Linked DNA regions of Arabidopsis thaliana. The protein of the gene in region 1 binds, or shares a complex with, the protein of each later gene. Each region holds a gene or a part of one and is shown in the gene's direction. Other genes may lie near its edges.

Evidence for each region.
Region 2: PnsB5 (region 1) and NdhN share a complex: the UniProt entries of both Arabidopsis thaliana proteins name them as parts of the chloroplast NDH complex.
Region 3: PnsB5 (region 1) and PnsB4 share a complex: the UniProt entries of both Arabidopsis thaliana proteins name them as parts of the chloroplast NDH complex.
Region 4: PnsB5 (region 1) and NdhM share a complex: the UniProt entries of both Arabidopsis thaliana proteins name them as parts of the chloroplast NDH complex.

The regions. Positions count from the first base shown.
Region 1 is NC_003076.8:17,579,098-17,583,038, reverse strand, and holds PnsB5 (NAD(P)H dehydrogenase 18), read left to right. Parts: upstream 1-1,763; 5' UTR 1,764-1,893; coding exon 1,894-2,115; intron 2,116-2,190; coding exon 2,191-2,254; intron 2,255-2,360; coding exon 2,361-2,423; intron 2,424-2,502; coding exon 2,503-2,561; intron 2,562-2,708; coding exon 2,709-2,939; 3' UTR 2,940-3,172; downstream 3,173-3,941. Other genes in the region: AT5G43755 (non-LTR retrolelement reverse transcriptase-like protein), read left to right, coding at 1-62. UniProt on the Arabidopsis thaliana protein: NDH shuttles electrons from NAD(P)H:plastoquinone, via FMN and iron-sulfur (Fe-S) centers, to quinones in the photosynthetic chain and possibly in a chloroplast respiratory chain.
Region 2 is NC_003076.8:23,559,829-23,563,945, reverse strand, and holds NdhN (oxidoreductases, acting on NADH or NADPH, quinone or similar compound as acceptor), read left to right. Parts: upstream 1-1,944; 5' UTR 1,945-2,016; coding exon 2,017-2,385; intron 2,386-2,467; coding exon 2,468-2,584; coding exon of another isoform or gene 2,585-2,590; exon of another isoform or gene 2,591-2,649; coding exon 2,650-2,735; intron 2,736-2,813; coding exon 2,814-2,871; 3' UTR 2,872-3,378; downstream 3,379-4,117. Other genes in the region: ABCB25 (ABC transporter of the mitochondrion 3), read right to left, coding at 5-88, 413-520, 667-769, 867-910, 991-1,052, 1,130-1,778; EMB3143 (YCF54), read right to left, coding at 3,574-3,766, 3,867-4,099. UniProt on the Arabidopsis thaliana protein: NDH shuttles electrons from NAD(P)H:plastoquinone, via FMN and iron-sulfur (Fe-S) centers, to quinones in the photosynthetic chain and possibly in a chloroplast respiratory chain.
Region 3 is NC_003070.9:6,458,443-6,462,996, forward strand, and holds PnsB4 (NDH dependent flow 6), read left to right. Parts: upstream 1-1,960; 5' UTR 1,961-2,182; coding exon 2,183-2,248; intron 2,249-2,324; coding exon 2,325-2,366; intron 2,367-2,401; exon of another isoform or gene 2,402-2,453; coding exon 2,454-2,631; intron 2,632-2,731; coding exon 2,732-2,787; intron 2,788-2,875; coding exon 2,876-2,947; coding exon of another isoform or gene 2,948-3,022; exon of another isoform or gene 3,023-3,401; coding exon of another isoform or gene 3,402-3,407; exon of another isoform or gene 3,408-3,551; coding exon 3,552-3,665; 3' UTR 3,666-3,902; downstream 3,903-4,554. Other genes in the region: AT1G18720 (ER membrane protein, putative (DUF962)), read right to left, coding at 9-71, 854-1,216. UniProt on the Arabidopsis thaliana protein: NDH shuttles electrons from NAD(P)H:plastoquinone, via FMN and iron-sulfur (Fe-S) centers, to quinones in the photosynthetic chain and possibly in a chloroplast respiratory chain.
Region 4 is NC_003075.7:17,830,025-17,833,712, reverse strand, and holds NdhM (subunit NDH-M of NAD(P)H:plastoquinone dehydrogenase complex), read left to right. Parts: upstream 1-2,093; 5' UTR 2,094-2,227; coding exon 2,228-2,680; intron 2,681-2,764; coding exon 2,765-2,965; 3' UTR 2,966-3,180; downstream 3,181-3,688. Other genes in the region: SHM1 (serine transhydroxymethyltransferase 1), read left to right, coding at 1-74, 159-251, 339-431, 510-707, 795-899, 981-1,046, 1,129-1,206, 1,287-1,398 and 2 more; AT4G37920 (endoribonuclease E-like protein), read left to right, coding at 3,396-3,579. UniProt on the Arabidopsis thaliana protein: NDH shuttles electrons from NAD(P)H:plastoquinone, via FMN and iron-sulfur (Fe-S) centers, to quinones in the photosynthetic chain and possibly in a chloroplast respiratory chain.

The DNA.
Region 1 (3,941 bases):
TAGTTCATAGCTTTATCCCATTGTGTATCTCAAATGCTCTGTTTTCAGACTACGTTTCCTAAGTAATAAAAATGAAGTTCGTGTTAAAAAAAAAAAAAAAAAAATGATGCCATTAACTCATATCATAAGTTCATAACCCAAAACTAAACTATCGTTTCATGTGTACTAACTACTTGTGAGATTTTCACAAGTCAATAACATGCGTGTGAATCTTTAACGCGTGCGTGATAAGTTTTGTATTTATATCATCATTTGGTATGTGTCAACACACAATTTGGGGAGAGTTTGTGTGGTAAGTAATGCAAAAATATATGTTTGTTATATAACATAGAACTGATTCTAATTGCTAAGAAAATTCCTACCAAACGAAGCAATTACGTTCAACAATTATTCTTAGAAGTTTGAAGAAACCATTCTCTACCACTCCACAATTCTTTCTTCTTCATTGGTTTTACAAATTCTACCTTTTCAAGTCATTCTTAAATCTTAAATAAACAAAACCAGTTTGAATTTTTTTTCGTAGTTGGTAGAAAAGTGTGTTCCAAAATGAGTTCTTTAGAAAAAAAATATTTCCAAAATGAATTATGATTTTTAATCTCTCTGCACCTTTAGTTATATCGGTAAGATATCTCAAATTCTTCAAGCAAATTATGGTACATATTTTCTATAGATAATATTGAAGAAAAAAGGAGCTTAACTAGTGTTGATTTCAACTATCGGAATCAAATATATATTTGCATTTCATTAGACACTAAACCTTTCAACAAAAAAATAATAATAATTCAATAAACACTACATGTGTAAGTGCATGTCACATGGATTACAAATCATTAAGCTAATATCTTCGATGAATTAAGAAGATAAGTGGATAACAAGTACCTAACCGCAATAGTCCATAAATTAAAACATTAATGTATTTGTCGTTGAAAATTTGGCCGACTTTTATTTGTTATTCTAGTTTCCACATCAAAAATGTTTGTACTTCGTAGCAATCCATCCACCTAAACCCCAAATCTTAATTTATATTTGTTGCGTTTAAATTTGGGTGAGATTTGATTCTAAGTAGTTGAGATAAATTGATATTCTATTCATTAGTAAAATGATAGAGAAATTGGTTTATAATAATTTTACCCTAGAACATGACATGATATTGGTAACCATTAATCAAAGAAAGAGCAAAGCATTTAATTTACCCTACTCTCCAACCACTCCAGCCTTTATTAGTTGCAGTTGGGAATCATTTCTTTATGATTCTTATGTCATTGTCTCCTAAATCAATGAAGTGCCTTGACCTTGTTACTAATTCGAACATAGCAAAGCCAACTACATAGATCCTTTACAAAGTTCTAAAAACAGGTTGTTTAGGCGTCTAGACAAACAAAACCATTTTGTACGATTCAACAAATTGGTCCATAGAATGTTATTGATCTTTCTTGTTTAGGCATTCGATAAATCGGCTAATACATTATTTTTTTGTTTTGCTTTTTCCTTATTAAAAATATGCAAAGTATTATGATGTTTAACCTGAACTGAATTTTACATTTAACTGGATATAGGAAAATATTGGGTTGAATTTAATAATTAAGCAATTGTCACGTAAATCAAATTGGGCTTAATATATATTGTTGATTTCAGCAAAGACAAAGTTGGGCCGTTTCAATAGTCTTCACGCGATGTAAGCGTTCACTAACCAACTAGAGAAGACAATCAAATGAATACGTTCCACGTGACGCTTACGAACTTGTCAGTCACTTTGGTAATATGACAGACAGTAACCAGTAAACTACTAATCTCTTTCGCTAACGAACACACAAAAAAAAAAAGAACCGTTTTTTCTTTCTATGGCTCCAAAACTCTGAGACAGAGCAAGAAAAAGATAAAGTGAGTGAAAAAATGGCAACGGTCACGATTCTCTCACCCAAATCGATTCCAAAGGTCACTGATTCCAAATTCGGAGCTAGGGTTTCTGATCAGATCGTCAATGTCGTAAAATGCGGCAAATCCGGCCGGAGATTGAAGTTAGCGAAGCTGGTCTCAGCGGCTGGATTGTCACAGATCGAACCAGACATCAACGAAGACCCGATTGGTCAATTCGAGACTAATAGCATTGAAATGGTAAAGATTCAATTGATTTTAAATTCATAATTCTGCTGAAAGTTGTTTCTGATTGGTTAGCGCTTTTGTTAATAGGAAGATTTCAAGTATGGATATTACGATGGAGCTCATACTTACTATGAAGGAGAAGTTCAAAAGGGTATAATTTTGGTTTCTCCTATTGATTCTTGTCGCTGTTTCGATTTTAGAGCTATAATATTTCTTTGTTTGATTGATTGATTAGTCTTCTTGGAAATGTTTCTTAGGAACATTTTGGGGAGCAATTGCTGATGACATTGCTGCTGTGGATCAAACTAATGGGTTTCAAGGTATGAATTTAACCCGCTTTTTAGTGCTTTTTATGTACCGCAGATTGATTGAAAACTCGCGGTTTTTTTATGTCTGCAGGTTTGATCTCTTGTATGTTTCTTCCTGCTATAGCTCTTGGGATGTATTTTGATGCTCCGGTAACTTCAAAATCTTTTGCTTGCTTCCAAAATTTATCATTACTAGTTTTATCGCTTTTGTTTTGTGGAGGACGTACAAGAGATTAGATAATTAAGCCAAGTATGAGAAGAAAAAGAATCACCAGTGTTTGTGTGTGTGTGTTGCAGGGTGAGTACTTGTTCATAGGTGCAGCGTTATTCACGGTAGTGTTCTGTATAATAGAGATGGATAAACCTGACCAGCCACACAACTTCGAGCCTCAGATATACAAATTGGAGAGAGGAGCTCGTGACAAGCTCATTAATGACTACAACACAATGAGCATTTGGGACTTTAATGACAAATATGGTGATGTATGGGATTTCACCATTGAGAAAGATGATATCGCCACACGATAAGATAATGGATTGTGATCTCGTTATAATCATGACTTTTGATGTAAACTGTTTTATAAAATTGATGAATGAACGGGGTACAATGTGTATAATATTGATTGTTCATTCTCTTATTTTTCTTTAGTACCATAAAACCTAGATTCTCATCTTGTAGTGTTAGGTTTCTGTTCTTCACTATATGTTTTTTTAAGATCTAAGTACCTCGTATGGACCCAACGAGTTTCCATACCCATCATTAGTTCATACAATGGTGGATAAACCATACAATTTGAGGTTGACGTATGCCACACGCTAACTTCATCCCCTGGTCCAAACACAACAATATAGTGTTCCAGTATTGTGGAAGAGTCCGAGGAGCTAAACACACCTTCGAGTTCTATCGAGTTGGAACATCAAGTGACAAACCAGCTCCACTCCTAATCCCTAGTCTCTCTACAAGAAAATGCTTTAACGTATCTCTGACACTTTCTTTAATATTGTGCAAACTATTCGTAAGTTCCATACCAGTTTTTACTATGATACTAGATGAGTACCCACGCTACGCGTGGGTTTGTTTTGAAAATTGTTAAAAAATATTTAGATTGATTGTTAGTTTTGCTAATTTATGTTTATTTTTGTATTGTTAATGAAATTAGATCCATATTATTTACAATTTTTATGGTTAGATTCATTTGTAACTCGAAATATCAATTTCTAATTTTCATGTATAAAGCTATTTATAAGATGTTAATATTTGTTCACTATCAAAAATACATATAACAACAATATATGATATTTTGATACAATTATGTGTAACCATGTTACTTGTGTGGTTTAAAATTTATCTTACTCGATTATAAATAAATCAATTCTTTGTTTTATGTACTTCAACAACATTGTGATAAGCTCATGATTAAAGTTTTGATTGACTTCAACTGAACAAGATCTGAAGAGTATTCGTATGAAAAAGGGGTATGAAGAAAATAAAAAGATAGCAAAAACTAAATGTCATTTAAGTCAACACTT
Region 2 (4,117 bases), 6.0 Mb from region 1:
TTACCTCATAATTTATCAGAGAATCAATGGCCCTTGTGCTAGCATCATTATCAGCTTTGTTCATAGCCTTTCTAAACTTGGTTCGCCACTGGATAAAATAAATAAAACCGTGAGCAAAGCGTTTGACACCAAAAAGATTTGTAACAAGATAATGAAAGTTGAAGAGAATGTATGAAGACAACTATCCTTCTATACATCATCAAACCTAATATCACAACTAGAATGATTTAAGCCGATCCAAAGAGTTGATACAGTTAAGATTAGAGAAGCTTAGTAACGAATTCCAGAACAATGTATACTATAGTAGTTTCTTAAATAAAATATCACAGTTATTGCTGGATTATCATGATAATAACGCAAGTATTGCATTATAGTTGGCATTGAAAAGAGAATACCGAAAAAGGCACAGTACCTGTGTCACAGCTAATGTGAAAACGATATATGATCCAACGGAGAGAGAAGTAATCCAGGCAAAAGCAGCTCCAAACTTGTATGCCAGTATACCTGATACCATAGATATCTGAAAGATACATATTAATTACGTCGAGTGTTTTTAGAGACGAATGAATAGTGAAATCCAAATATGAATGAGCAACTGCCAATTATTCAAAATGAGAAAAAAAACAATGATCATGAGAAAGCACCAAGTGGTCAGACAAGCTTTACCTCCAATATGGTAGGAACAACATTGAAAACCATAGCTGAGAGGATAAAATTTATTGCACGGCTACCACGATCAATAATCCTGTTCAAGCCGCCTGTTTCTCGACTGGACATAAGCAATTAAGTAAGGAAGTTATGATGAGATGAATCTAAGATGGAATGAGCGAGACTACTCACAAGAGTAAGAGAGGAGAGATAGATACCTTAGGTGGTAACGAAGGTCAAGATCATGTAAATGTGAGAACACCTGCAAAGCGACCATATGAAATTGATTCATACATTAAAATATCTCTATCGACAAGATAGTTTAGAGCAGCAGCAGCATACCTTTCTAGAAACAGATCGTATTGTTCGGAGAGCTACCTTAGAGAACACAGCAGTACGAAGTTCTGCGATGATGAAAAGTAACAACCAAGAGTGAAAAGTGCATTCTTTTTTAAAGAAAACTAGAGCTATTGAGAGTTACCATTAAAAGCAGAAGAACCCGTCCGAGCAATCCCGTATCCAATGAGAACAGCAGCAGGAGTAGCAAAAACAGTAAGAAGAGTTGGGTTTGTAGCAGCGAAGGTGGTAAGTGAGGCTCCAGTACCGGTAGCTGAAGCAAGCCAATCAACAGCTAATTTGAAGAGGAAAGGGACTTGGACATTCAAGACCTTAGCACCCACGAGAAAACCCAAAGCAGCGATGACCCTGAAACGGAATTCTGGATTGTCTCTCATCCACAAATAGCCAGCAAGCGTACGGAGAATCTTCATGTCAGCCATAGCTGAGTCTGAATCCGACGAGGTTGTCTTGATTTCCTTAGTCTTGGTGGTGGTTTGGTCTGGATTGGGAGTAGAAGTCGAGAAGAGACGACCATTAAGCATTGAACTCCGTTGAACAAAACGAATTGGGGATGGTGATGGTGACGGGGATGGTGAGTTATCTGAGAGGAAGGCATTGATAACCGGAGATGTTCGAATTGAGTTACGTCTGATGTAATTGGAGAAACCATTATGAAGACGATAATCAGAGCGAAGACTGTAGGAAAAAGATGGGATTTTGGGTTGAGGTTGAAGATTAACGCGACAGAGTAAGAGCCCAGGAGCCCTAACGAATCGAGATCCTCTCGACATCCCTTCTTCTCCGAAAGTTTCACAGACTGAATTTTGCTCCGGCGAGCTAGCTAACAATGTCACGACGTTCGGCGGTGCTTAATGGGCCTAATAAATAAAGCCCAATACATTTTAAGCCCATTAATGTCTATCCCTTTGTGGAGTGAGTCGTCGTTTCTCCACCATTCTTTCATCATCATCGTCGTCAAGCAATGTTTATTATGAGCTACTTCCACAAGAAGTCATTGTTAGTAAAGAAATGGGAAGCCGTGCAATATGTATACAACGTGTGGCACCACCGTGTTTTGAAGCCTCGCAAGTGAAGAAGATCAAAACAGTTGGTTCCTTTTTGGTGAATACTAGGAGTAAGAGAAGAAGAAGCACTGGTGTGAAATGTAGCAGCATAGCTGACTACATCGGAGGTGACTTGGTGAAGCCGGACATCGGACAATGGCTTCAAGACGTGGAAGAACACAAGGCAATCGCCATTTACGCTCCTCATGAGGGTGGTTACGAAGGTCGTTATCTTAACCGTCTCAAAATGCAGGGCTACTACTTTCTTGACATCTCTGCTCGTGGCCTTGGTGACCCTGAGACTACCCTTCTCAAGAACTACCCTGTTTGCCCTGTATGTCTACTTTCATCCATCTTCTACTTTAATCTTGTTTCAATATAATTTTGTGTGAACCATGTATCTTCTCTTCTTTTAGGCTCATCTTGGGAAACAACCTATAGCAAGATGGTATTATCCACCAGAAGTTGATTACAGGCTCGCTGCTCTTCCCCCTAGTGCCAAGGGTCTTGTTGTATGGGTCCTCGAAGCAAAGGTTTGAGTTTCTCTCATTTGATCTGTTCTCCCACATGCTCTTTCTCATATTTCCATTTCACTCAGGTCCTCTCAAAATCGGAGCTTCAATTTCTCGCTTTACTTCCCTCTCTTCGTCCTAACGTCAGGGTTATTGCTGAATGTGGCAACTGGTGAGTATATCATTCCTTACCATACACACTAATCATCTATGTTTGCAATTTGCATGACCATTACCAATTCCCCTGCAGGAGAAAGTTCGTGTGGAAGCCTCTAGCAGAAATTGCAAATCTAGCTGCACAAGAGTAACTTAATGGCACAAGTGGAGCTACCAGTGTATAGTTTTTCATGAATGCATCTCCCGCAAGTGTAGCAATACTCATCCCATAGTAAAAGTTAAAATCTGTATTTGTAACTTGGTAGTATATTCCCATGGAGTAGTTAAAGATAATTTCTGACTCTGCTTTGTCACAAATAAAAGTATGTATAATCAGTAAGATTGATAGGACACGCTTAGATACAGACTACAGAGCAATCCAGAAGTACAACATAGAACACTTGATTCAGCAGAAACATGTGCAACTTACTTTGATCAACTCCAGTCACTAGACCTAACGAGTAACAACATGTTCCGAGTCCACAAATCGTTTTGAAAACCAAAAAATTCAGATCTTTTGCAAAGTTCTTCAGCGAGTAGGCATATTGCCCTCCTGTGACTAGACAACTTAATACCTAGAGCTTTAACTGAAGGTTCTTGCCAATATTCTCGTGAGAAATCAACAAATATGGTCACCCTTAAGACTTTGATGGAGCTAAATGTGAGGATGCTTTTTGTTGTCTAGTTCTATGCTTAACCTTGAGTCAGTGACGTATCAAACAGGCAACTTTGAGTAATAGAAGCTACACTAGGAAAGATATAGACTTGGATAATGAGCTCAGTAGTACAAAACTTTGAAGCACTAAGACAAAGCTGAGATTGGAGAATGCAAAAACAAGACAAAAAGCAAAGTTCTATACTGCAGATTCTTGGGTTACTTTAGGCAAGAAGGTATCCCACCATCCAGGTTCATACTTGGGGTATGGCGCCACCCAATTTTTAGGCTTATCGAACTCAAGAGTGGTAGGATTGGAGGCCAAAGCTTCATCAAGAGAGGTAGCTTCAAAGGAATCATACAGAACACGATCCAATCTTAACTTCATAAACCTGCCATAAAACAACAAATTGCAAAACACAAATGCGTTAGATAAGGAGGGAGTGAGGAACGTAATTTTGAAAAGAGAGAGATTGGGATTAGGGTTCTAACGTGATCCAGGTGCCATTGGTGGAAACAAGAGCAACAGCAGGACGACGAAGTCTTTGAGTAATTTTGGGGAAATTGTCAAGGAATTTAGGCTCAATGACAAGCCAGAAGTCTTGCACTAATTCACGCTCACCGAAGTAACGGAGACGTTCAAACAATTGCTCCTGGAAGTGCTCCTCTTCGTCAAGCATGAATTTAGCGTTTGCTACCAGGAAATGGTACTTGGTGCTCTCTCCCTGCAATCATCCAGAAAA
Region 3 (4,554 bases), on another chromosome or scaffold:
GAACTTACCTCGAATACTCCATGGCCAACGAACTGCCCGGTCCAACATAACAGCTGAGATGCTAACCCAACCTGAGTAAAAAGACAATTAAATTGTTACAGTATCTACATAACAGAGAGAGTTGGCGTCTTGGTGAGTATTAACTGTTTTCCCCTTGCTGTTGAATACATATAACAAACTAATCAAATGATTCAGACTGAAGATACATATAAACTAATCAAATGATTCACAACACAGAAGATACATAAAAAAGCTCCTAAGTTACAGATGTCTCAAATACTATGGAAGAAAAACCAAACTTTAGTTAAACAAGTGATGTAGATTCTAATTATCTGAGACCATCCAAATGTTGGTGGTCAAGAACAACACTTGTTTCCGTCCAAGCACACATCAAATCCTCTTAACCAATGAGTCAACAACACTAAAAACATGACAAGTCTCCGGACCAAAGAATCAGAACCGTGCAAAGGTGGACAATTGCAGAACAAACTGCAATAACTACTAATCATGAATGTTCAAAGCTAGAGACATGATATTAGTACTGCTGTCTCAACGTTAACAGCTAATGAAGGGACCCATAGACAACAGATAGAGAGGACTAATGATATAAATAAATCTATTTCTTCTTCCCCGAGCATAACCAATGATATAAACGAACTTTCAAGTCAAAGCATAGAAAACAATGAACAATAAATGCATGAACCACACTCACATCATATAAATATACACATAGAGCAACACATGGATACACATAGTCATATACCCTCATAAACATGCTTCTACGCAATTATTTTCTCCAAAAATGAAGTTTTTTCAAAAACCCTAAATTGAAATTAGAGAAAAAAAATCTAACCTTTAAGGCAAGAGAAGATCCTAGTCGAACAGCAAGAAAACTGGAACCAACCCAGCAAGAGAAACACATAAGAGCAGCTACAAATCCAGATTTCTTATCCAAACCGATATAGAACAGAGCATAAATCAAGGCGAATATAAACCCAACGTTAAATCGCAAAACGCCGTCGAGGGTCAACGATTGAGAAAACCCTAATTGAGAGGGGTCGAAAATTGGGGTCGACGAGTGGAGGAGAAGTAAAACTGAGAAGAAGATTGGCCAAACGAAGATGATGTGGATTAGAATGTTGATCGGATTGCTATGGTAAGCACCGTAGAAGGCGAAGTGTTTCTCGAGATCGAACAATCCCATTATGCGACTCATGGATAAAAAATTCGTTGAGGAAGAGGTGTTTTTATGAGGAGAAGATCGGTGGAAATTGGATAATAGTCACCAAACAGAGGAGATTAAAGATATACACGGGAAGAAGACGAAAGTGGAAAGTTTGATTAGCAATTTCCCGAAAATGATGCTAACGTGCGCTTTTTAATAGCTAACATGCGCTTTTTAAAGCGATAGAAGTTGACTTGGCCGGAGATTTTCTTCCGACTTTTGACAAAATACTAGTCGCTAAGAAGAGTAGACGTGTTATTGTGATTGCTAACATGCGCGAATAAAAGCTGGTTTAGATGGATATACATCATTGAAAGTTTGGCAAATAGAACATACACTATTCAACGAATGATGTATTTGGGATGATTGCTAACATGCGCGCATAGGAAGTTGAATTAGATGGAAATATCATTAAAAGTTTGGCAATAGTTGCCAACGTACGCTATTCAACAAATGATGTATTTGGGAAGAGACATAAGCGGAAAGTTTGAATTTCACCAACCAAAGATTTATTAGCAATTTTAGTGTGGTTACTAACTTGCACGTCTAGAGGAGTGAACGTGTTTAGTGATTGCTAACCTGCGCGAATGGAAAGTTTGTTGGACGGGTAAAATACGAAAGTTTGTAGTTGAATTTTGCTGGAAATATCTTTACCACTCTTTAAGGCAAATAGTTGTTCCCAACCTGAGCGTTTTAGAAGGCTAAAATGTGTACTGTGATTGTCTAAATTGGGCTTTTAAAAGACAAAAAAAGTGTTATGCGATGTGATTGCTAACGTACGTTATTTTTTTATTTTGTTTATCACAAAAGTGAAGAGTGGACGATACCAATTCCCTTATCCACACATTTTCTGCCTCAAAAAATCTAATCTTAAAGATTAAAATAAATGAAAAAATAAAAAAGATTACACCAACATTTTTTTTTTTTCTTCTCCATTGCCACCATCAAGAAGTAACAATGGCTGAAGCTTTCACAAGTTTCACCTTCACAAATCTTCATATTCCTTCTTCCTACAATCACTCGGTACATATTATTTTATATTCTTACCAAAAATATTTCATTACGAAAAAAAGTTTAAGAATTGTGTATTGTGTTGTAGCCGAAGCAGAATTCAGGACCGAATCATGGATATTGGCTATCTGTAAGTAATTTTCTCTAACTAAGACTAAAATTAGAAAAAAAATCTCCATATTCTTGTGAATTTACGTCTTAGAATTTGAAAAATTAGAAGAATGTTAATGAGAAGAGGGAAAGGAATTTGATGAGAGGAAGCTTATGTGTAAGAAAGGCATTGCCACATGATTTGCCATTAATGGCTGTGATGGTTCAACAAATAGAAGGAATGCGTGATATCATTACAGAGAAACACGTGTGGCATCTAAGTGATAAAGCTATCAAGAATGTTTGTAAGTTAAACACTTGGGGTTTCTTGAGAGATTTTATTTTCTTTCTTAGACTTTTTTTTCTTCTTTTTCTTATGTTTTGATATTGATCTTGATATGGCAGATATGTTCTACATCATGTTCACTTGTTGGGGATGTTTGTACTTCGGTTCAGCAAAAGTATGAAAACAACAACTCAAACTGAATCTTTTGATACATTTGCTGCATTGGGATCTTAATAGTACTTTGTGATATTGGATCAATACAGGATCCATTCTACGACTCAGAGGAGTACCGTGGAGATGGAGGGGATGGAACTGGATATTGGGTCTATGAAACTGTATGTATCTCTCCCTTTCTAATACTATTAGGAAAGAAAGAAAAAAACTTAGAAATGCATACAAATTATAACTAGGGATGTTGCAATGGACCGACCAACCCGCTGTGGTCTTACTAGACCCTGTGGACCAGTTCAGATCTAGTTTGACCTCAGACTATCCCACCTTGGTCTTAGTAGGCCATGTAGACCTGTTCAGAGCCGGTTTTGAGTACTCCTCCATGTGTCTCAGCATGCGATAAACCTCCCTAAACAAAGAAAAATAGGTGGCTTTTAGGTTAGCGTTTACCGTTGGTATATATGCACCCAAAAATATGAATCCACAACCTTGATCATCTAAACGAAAGTCACAATCTGATAGATGGTAGGTAACATTGATCCATCCTATTGATAGATCAATCATGCTTAGTAAGTTTGAGCCGGGTTGGGCTTGATATAATAATTCAAACGTTAACAGATCTGATGGTAGGTAACATTGATCCTAAGTTGGGTCGGGCTGGGCTTGCTCGGGCCATTGACCTTTGGTATATCATCACAGATTCACAATGTGTACAACTATTATAAGATTGGATAGAGTTGTTATTGTGTTTTGGGTTATATGATGCAGCAAGAAGACATAGAAGAGAAAGCAAGAGCGGAGCTATGGCGTGAAGAACTTATCGAAGAAATTGAACAGAAGGTTGGTGGCTTAAGAGAGCTTGAAGAAGCTGTTACTAAGTAGAAAACTAACTTGTGAATCATAAACCACTTTACATACACATTATATATTTTCTTATATCAGTCATGCAACATTATATATACTCTCTAGCTTCCATATATATAATATATGTTATGTACTTCTTTGTTGTCTTGTGTTCTGAATCATTGAACGATCATGTTAGGAGCAATTGTCTCCTTCAGAAATTTATTGTTGACGACATCCGATGTCTTAAAAATATAAATAATTATGTTTGGTAAACTATCTTAATTTGCTTTTCTTGATTTCTTCGGTCGCAAGTTGGTCAGAGTGAATATTTATTATTTTTAAGTATAAAAAATTTAGTCAATTGGGGCTAAATTAATTGGTCGTATAGACTGGAAAGTGAGTCTGATGAGGAACAATTAGCGGGAAATACGCTTCTGCACGATTCTACCTGACAAAAACCAAAACTAATCAATCTTTAAAAACAAAAAATAAGTTAGCAGAGGTGAAGAAGGAGAGCTTGTCATGTCTTTGTCAGTAACCTTCGTGCTTCCATGTTTCAAAGCCTCTTCGAGCTTGTAATTGTAAACCACACGTGTGGTTTATTGTTTTTGTTTTCTTTTCAAATTTAAGTTTAATTTTCAGATATTTCTTTTTTTTGTGTGTGTGTTAGGAACACATGACAGGAGATATGATGTAACATTTTTATTTAAACAAAAAAAAGATCTGCATCACTGCATGTAGTGTATTTTGTCGTGTGTCAATTAATTCTTATAGTTGTACAATTTTAATTCTGGCCCAAACATGATTGATGACTTGTTAATGACACATATTTACCATATTCCATTATAATTATTTTTTTTCATTATACAGTTTCATAATAATACATTTCAATTTTCGGTTACCAAAAAACACCATTACACATTTC
Region 4 (3,688 bases), on another chromosome or scaffold:
CATTGTTAAAGCCTCATGAAAGAATCATGGCACTTGATCTTCCTCATGGTGGTCATCTTTCTCATGGTTATCAGGTGCCTTCAAGTTAACTTTGTATGTCATTTCGGAACTCTCTGACTCTGATGAATAACAGTTTCTTTCTTCTTATTTCTCATCAGACTGACACCAAGAAGATATCAGCTGTGTCTATCTTCTTTGAAACAATGCCCTATAGATTGGACGAGAGCACTGGCTACATCGACTACGATCAGGTTCTTAACTCTTCTATTAAGCAATCATAGTAACTTATAACTAACCCGCTTCATAACAATACATAAGTCTTTAATTTTGATTTGCAGATGGAGAAAAGTGCTACTCTTTTCAGGCCAAAATTGATTGTTGCTGGTGCAAGTGCTTATGCTAGATTGTATGACTATGCCCGCATCAGAAAGGTAATTTCAGTCTCATATCCAACTACAGAACAGATTATTGTAATCAGTAGTGAGTTTTGATTCGAACTCTTTTCCCAGGTCTGTAACAAGCAAAAAGCTGTAATGCTAGCAGATATGGCACACATCAGTGGTTTGGTTGCTGCTAATGTAATCCCTTCACCGTTCGACTATGCTGATGTTGTAACCACCACAACTCACAAGTCACTTCGTGGACCCCGTGGAGCCATGATTTTCTTCAGAAAGGGTGTTAAGGAAATTAACAAGCAAGGGAAAGAGGTAAAAAAGAAAAAGAAGCAAAATTTGAACCAAAATGTTTTAGATTTATGTATAATCTTTCACGTCATTCATTTGTTGTCTTGAAAGGTTTTGTATGATTTTGAAGACAAGATCAACCAAGCTGTCTTCCCTGGTCTTCAAGGTGGTCCACACAACCACACTATCACAGGACTAGCTGTTGCTTTGAAACAGGTACGGTGAGGCACGGAATGGAACTAACGTTGCTTATTGGATTTGCGGTTTCTGTAACCTTCAAATGGTTTGAAAATGCAGGCAACTACTTCAGAGTACAAAGCATACCAAGAACAAGTCCTGAGTAACAGTGCAAAGTTTGCTCAGGTACTAATCCCGTGAAGGAAAGAAAAACACATATGGCGTAGTATCTACTTTGATTATATCTCTACATTGTTGTTTCGTGCAGACTCTAATGGAGAGAGGATATGAACTTGTTTCTGGTGGAACTGACAACCATCTGGTTCTAGTGAATCTAAAGCCCAAGGTCACTTGATCTTTTTTTGTATATAATCTTCTTTTATATTTCTTAGTTAAAACTCATTTTTTATTCGATTTTGTTTGCAGGGAATTGATGGATCTAGAGTTGAGAAAGTGTTGGAAGCTGTTCACATTGCATCCAACAAAAACACTGTTCCTGGAGATGTTTCTGCCATGGTTCCTGGTGGAATCAGAATGGGTAAAAATCACATTTAACCATTTTTCTTTTTGGTATTCGAATGGAGTTCTTCTTGATATCCTCTGCCATTGTTATTTTCAGGTACTCCTGCTCTCACTTCCAGAGGCTTTGTTGAGGAAGACTTTGCCAAAGTAGCTGAATACTTCGACAAAGCTGTGACAATAGCTCTCAAAGTCAAATCTGAAGCTCAAGGTTTTTACTTCTCTGATCACGATGCTATGCTTTCCGTTCTTATATACAATGATTGAACTCATTTGTTATGTTTCTAAAACCAGGAACCAAGTTGAAGGATTTCGTGTCAGCAATGGAATCCTCTTCAACCATCCAATCCGAGATTGCGAAACTGCGCCATGAAGTCGAGGAATTCGCTAAGCAGTTCCCAACAATTGGGTTTGAGAAAGAAACCATGAAGTACAAGAACTAAACTGTTTCACCCCACAAGTGTTTTCTGTTATGCTTTGAATTCCCATGGAATGTATAGATGATACATGTAAAACTCTATTTTCACGCTATGCGAAAAATAATGATCTGTTAAATTTTCTCTCTATACATCAAAAAGAAATATACTTAGACAAAAAAAACACATACAACAAAACAGTGAATTCCCTAAAGAAGATTGTCTTTAGCTCACAAGTGACTTAAGAGTAACCACAAAATACCAACAAAACGAGAAAGGGATAAATAAGAAACTAGAAGTTGGGAGAGGCTCATCCACAAGCTGTGGTCATTTCTCAACCTCATCAAATCTCTTTACAAGAATATGGTTCTGTAACCGGACAACATCTCAAAACTTGTTCTGTTTTTTTTTTTTCATTTCTTAGACAGAAAAATGGTTGCAGCATTCTCTTACACTGCCTGCACCAAGCTTTCTCTATTACATCCTTCTATGGTTGCTCAAATCCGACCAAGAACAACACAAAAGGCGTTCGTGGTGACAAATCCGGAACAAGACAGTACTCTTGAAGTACAAGAAACAGAGACACTCAAAGAAGAGCAATCAACAGAGAAGATGAAGAAGCAGCCAACACCATTGAGACCAGTGGAGAAACAGCTGAACGTGAAGAGCAAGGGTATGGGCGATTTTGGTGGTCAGTGGCTAAGCAGTGTCACACGTCACGTTAGGATCTACGCTGCTTATATTGATCCAGAGACTTGTGAGTTTGACCAGTCACAAATGGATAAACTCACTTTGATTCTTGATCCTACTGAAGAATTTGTGTGGGATGATGAAAGCTGTAACAAGGTCTATTCTTATTTCCAAGAACTCGTCGATCACTACGAGGTAACGATAACAATAAACGAACGAAACATTCATCTAAAAGTTAGACTCATTTCAAGAAGACCTTATAATATTGTTTTTGAACAGGGAGCACCATTAACGGAGTACACATTGAGATTGATAGGATCGGACGTAGAACATTACATAAGGAAGATGTTGTTCGATGGAGAAATACAATACAATATGGATGCAAGAGTTCTTAATTTCAGTATGGGAAAGCCTCGTGTACAATTCAATACCAGTAACATTGAAGGTGGTGGAGATGGTCAGCCTCAAGAGGACGCTTAGTGAAACAAACTCTATTTTATAATCATGTAATGGGAATATAAATATATTGTAGTATGCTTTTTAATTTTGTCTATCACAAAGTAACATATGTATATATCATGACATATGCTATAATTATTTTTGTAATAATCAATCTTAAGTTTCTTTGTCTTTTCTTGTTAATGTAAGGTCTTAAGGTCATGTGAATATGTAATGTCAAAGAAACTCAATTCTGGTCTTGCTCATTCATGTTCCTTACTCCTTGCCTCTTTTTAAAAAGATTTCAAACTGATGCAAAACTTGTTAGTTTTAACATTTTTACCCAAAAAGTTATATTAAGTTTTTGAATTTGTCAACGTTTACTAATTATTTACAATTAAAACCCTGTTCTTCTTATCCTCTGGTGTTTCTCGTTGTTCGTCACCAAGACGAACTTTGTGAGGGAGAAAAAATGGCGAATTTACTGGAAACATCAATCTTTTTCTCCTCTGCTGATAAATTACTGTCTTTCCCGCCTAAGAATTCTCAAACCCATCATCTCCCTTTCTCTGCTTTCATCAATGGAGGAAGAAAGATACGCAAAAGCTCAACTATCACCTTTGCTACCGACACTGTCACTTACAATGGCACTACAAGTAAGCTCATAAACCCTAAATCTCTAATCTTTCTGTCTAATTACCAATAAATTCTATTTCTTTAGATTCCAATTTGTATTAATTGTCACCATTAGATAAGCTAAACCCT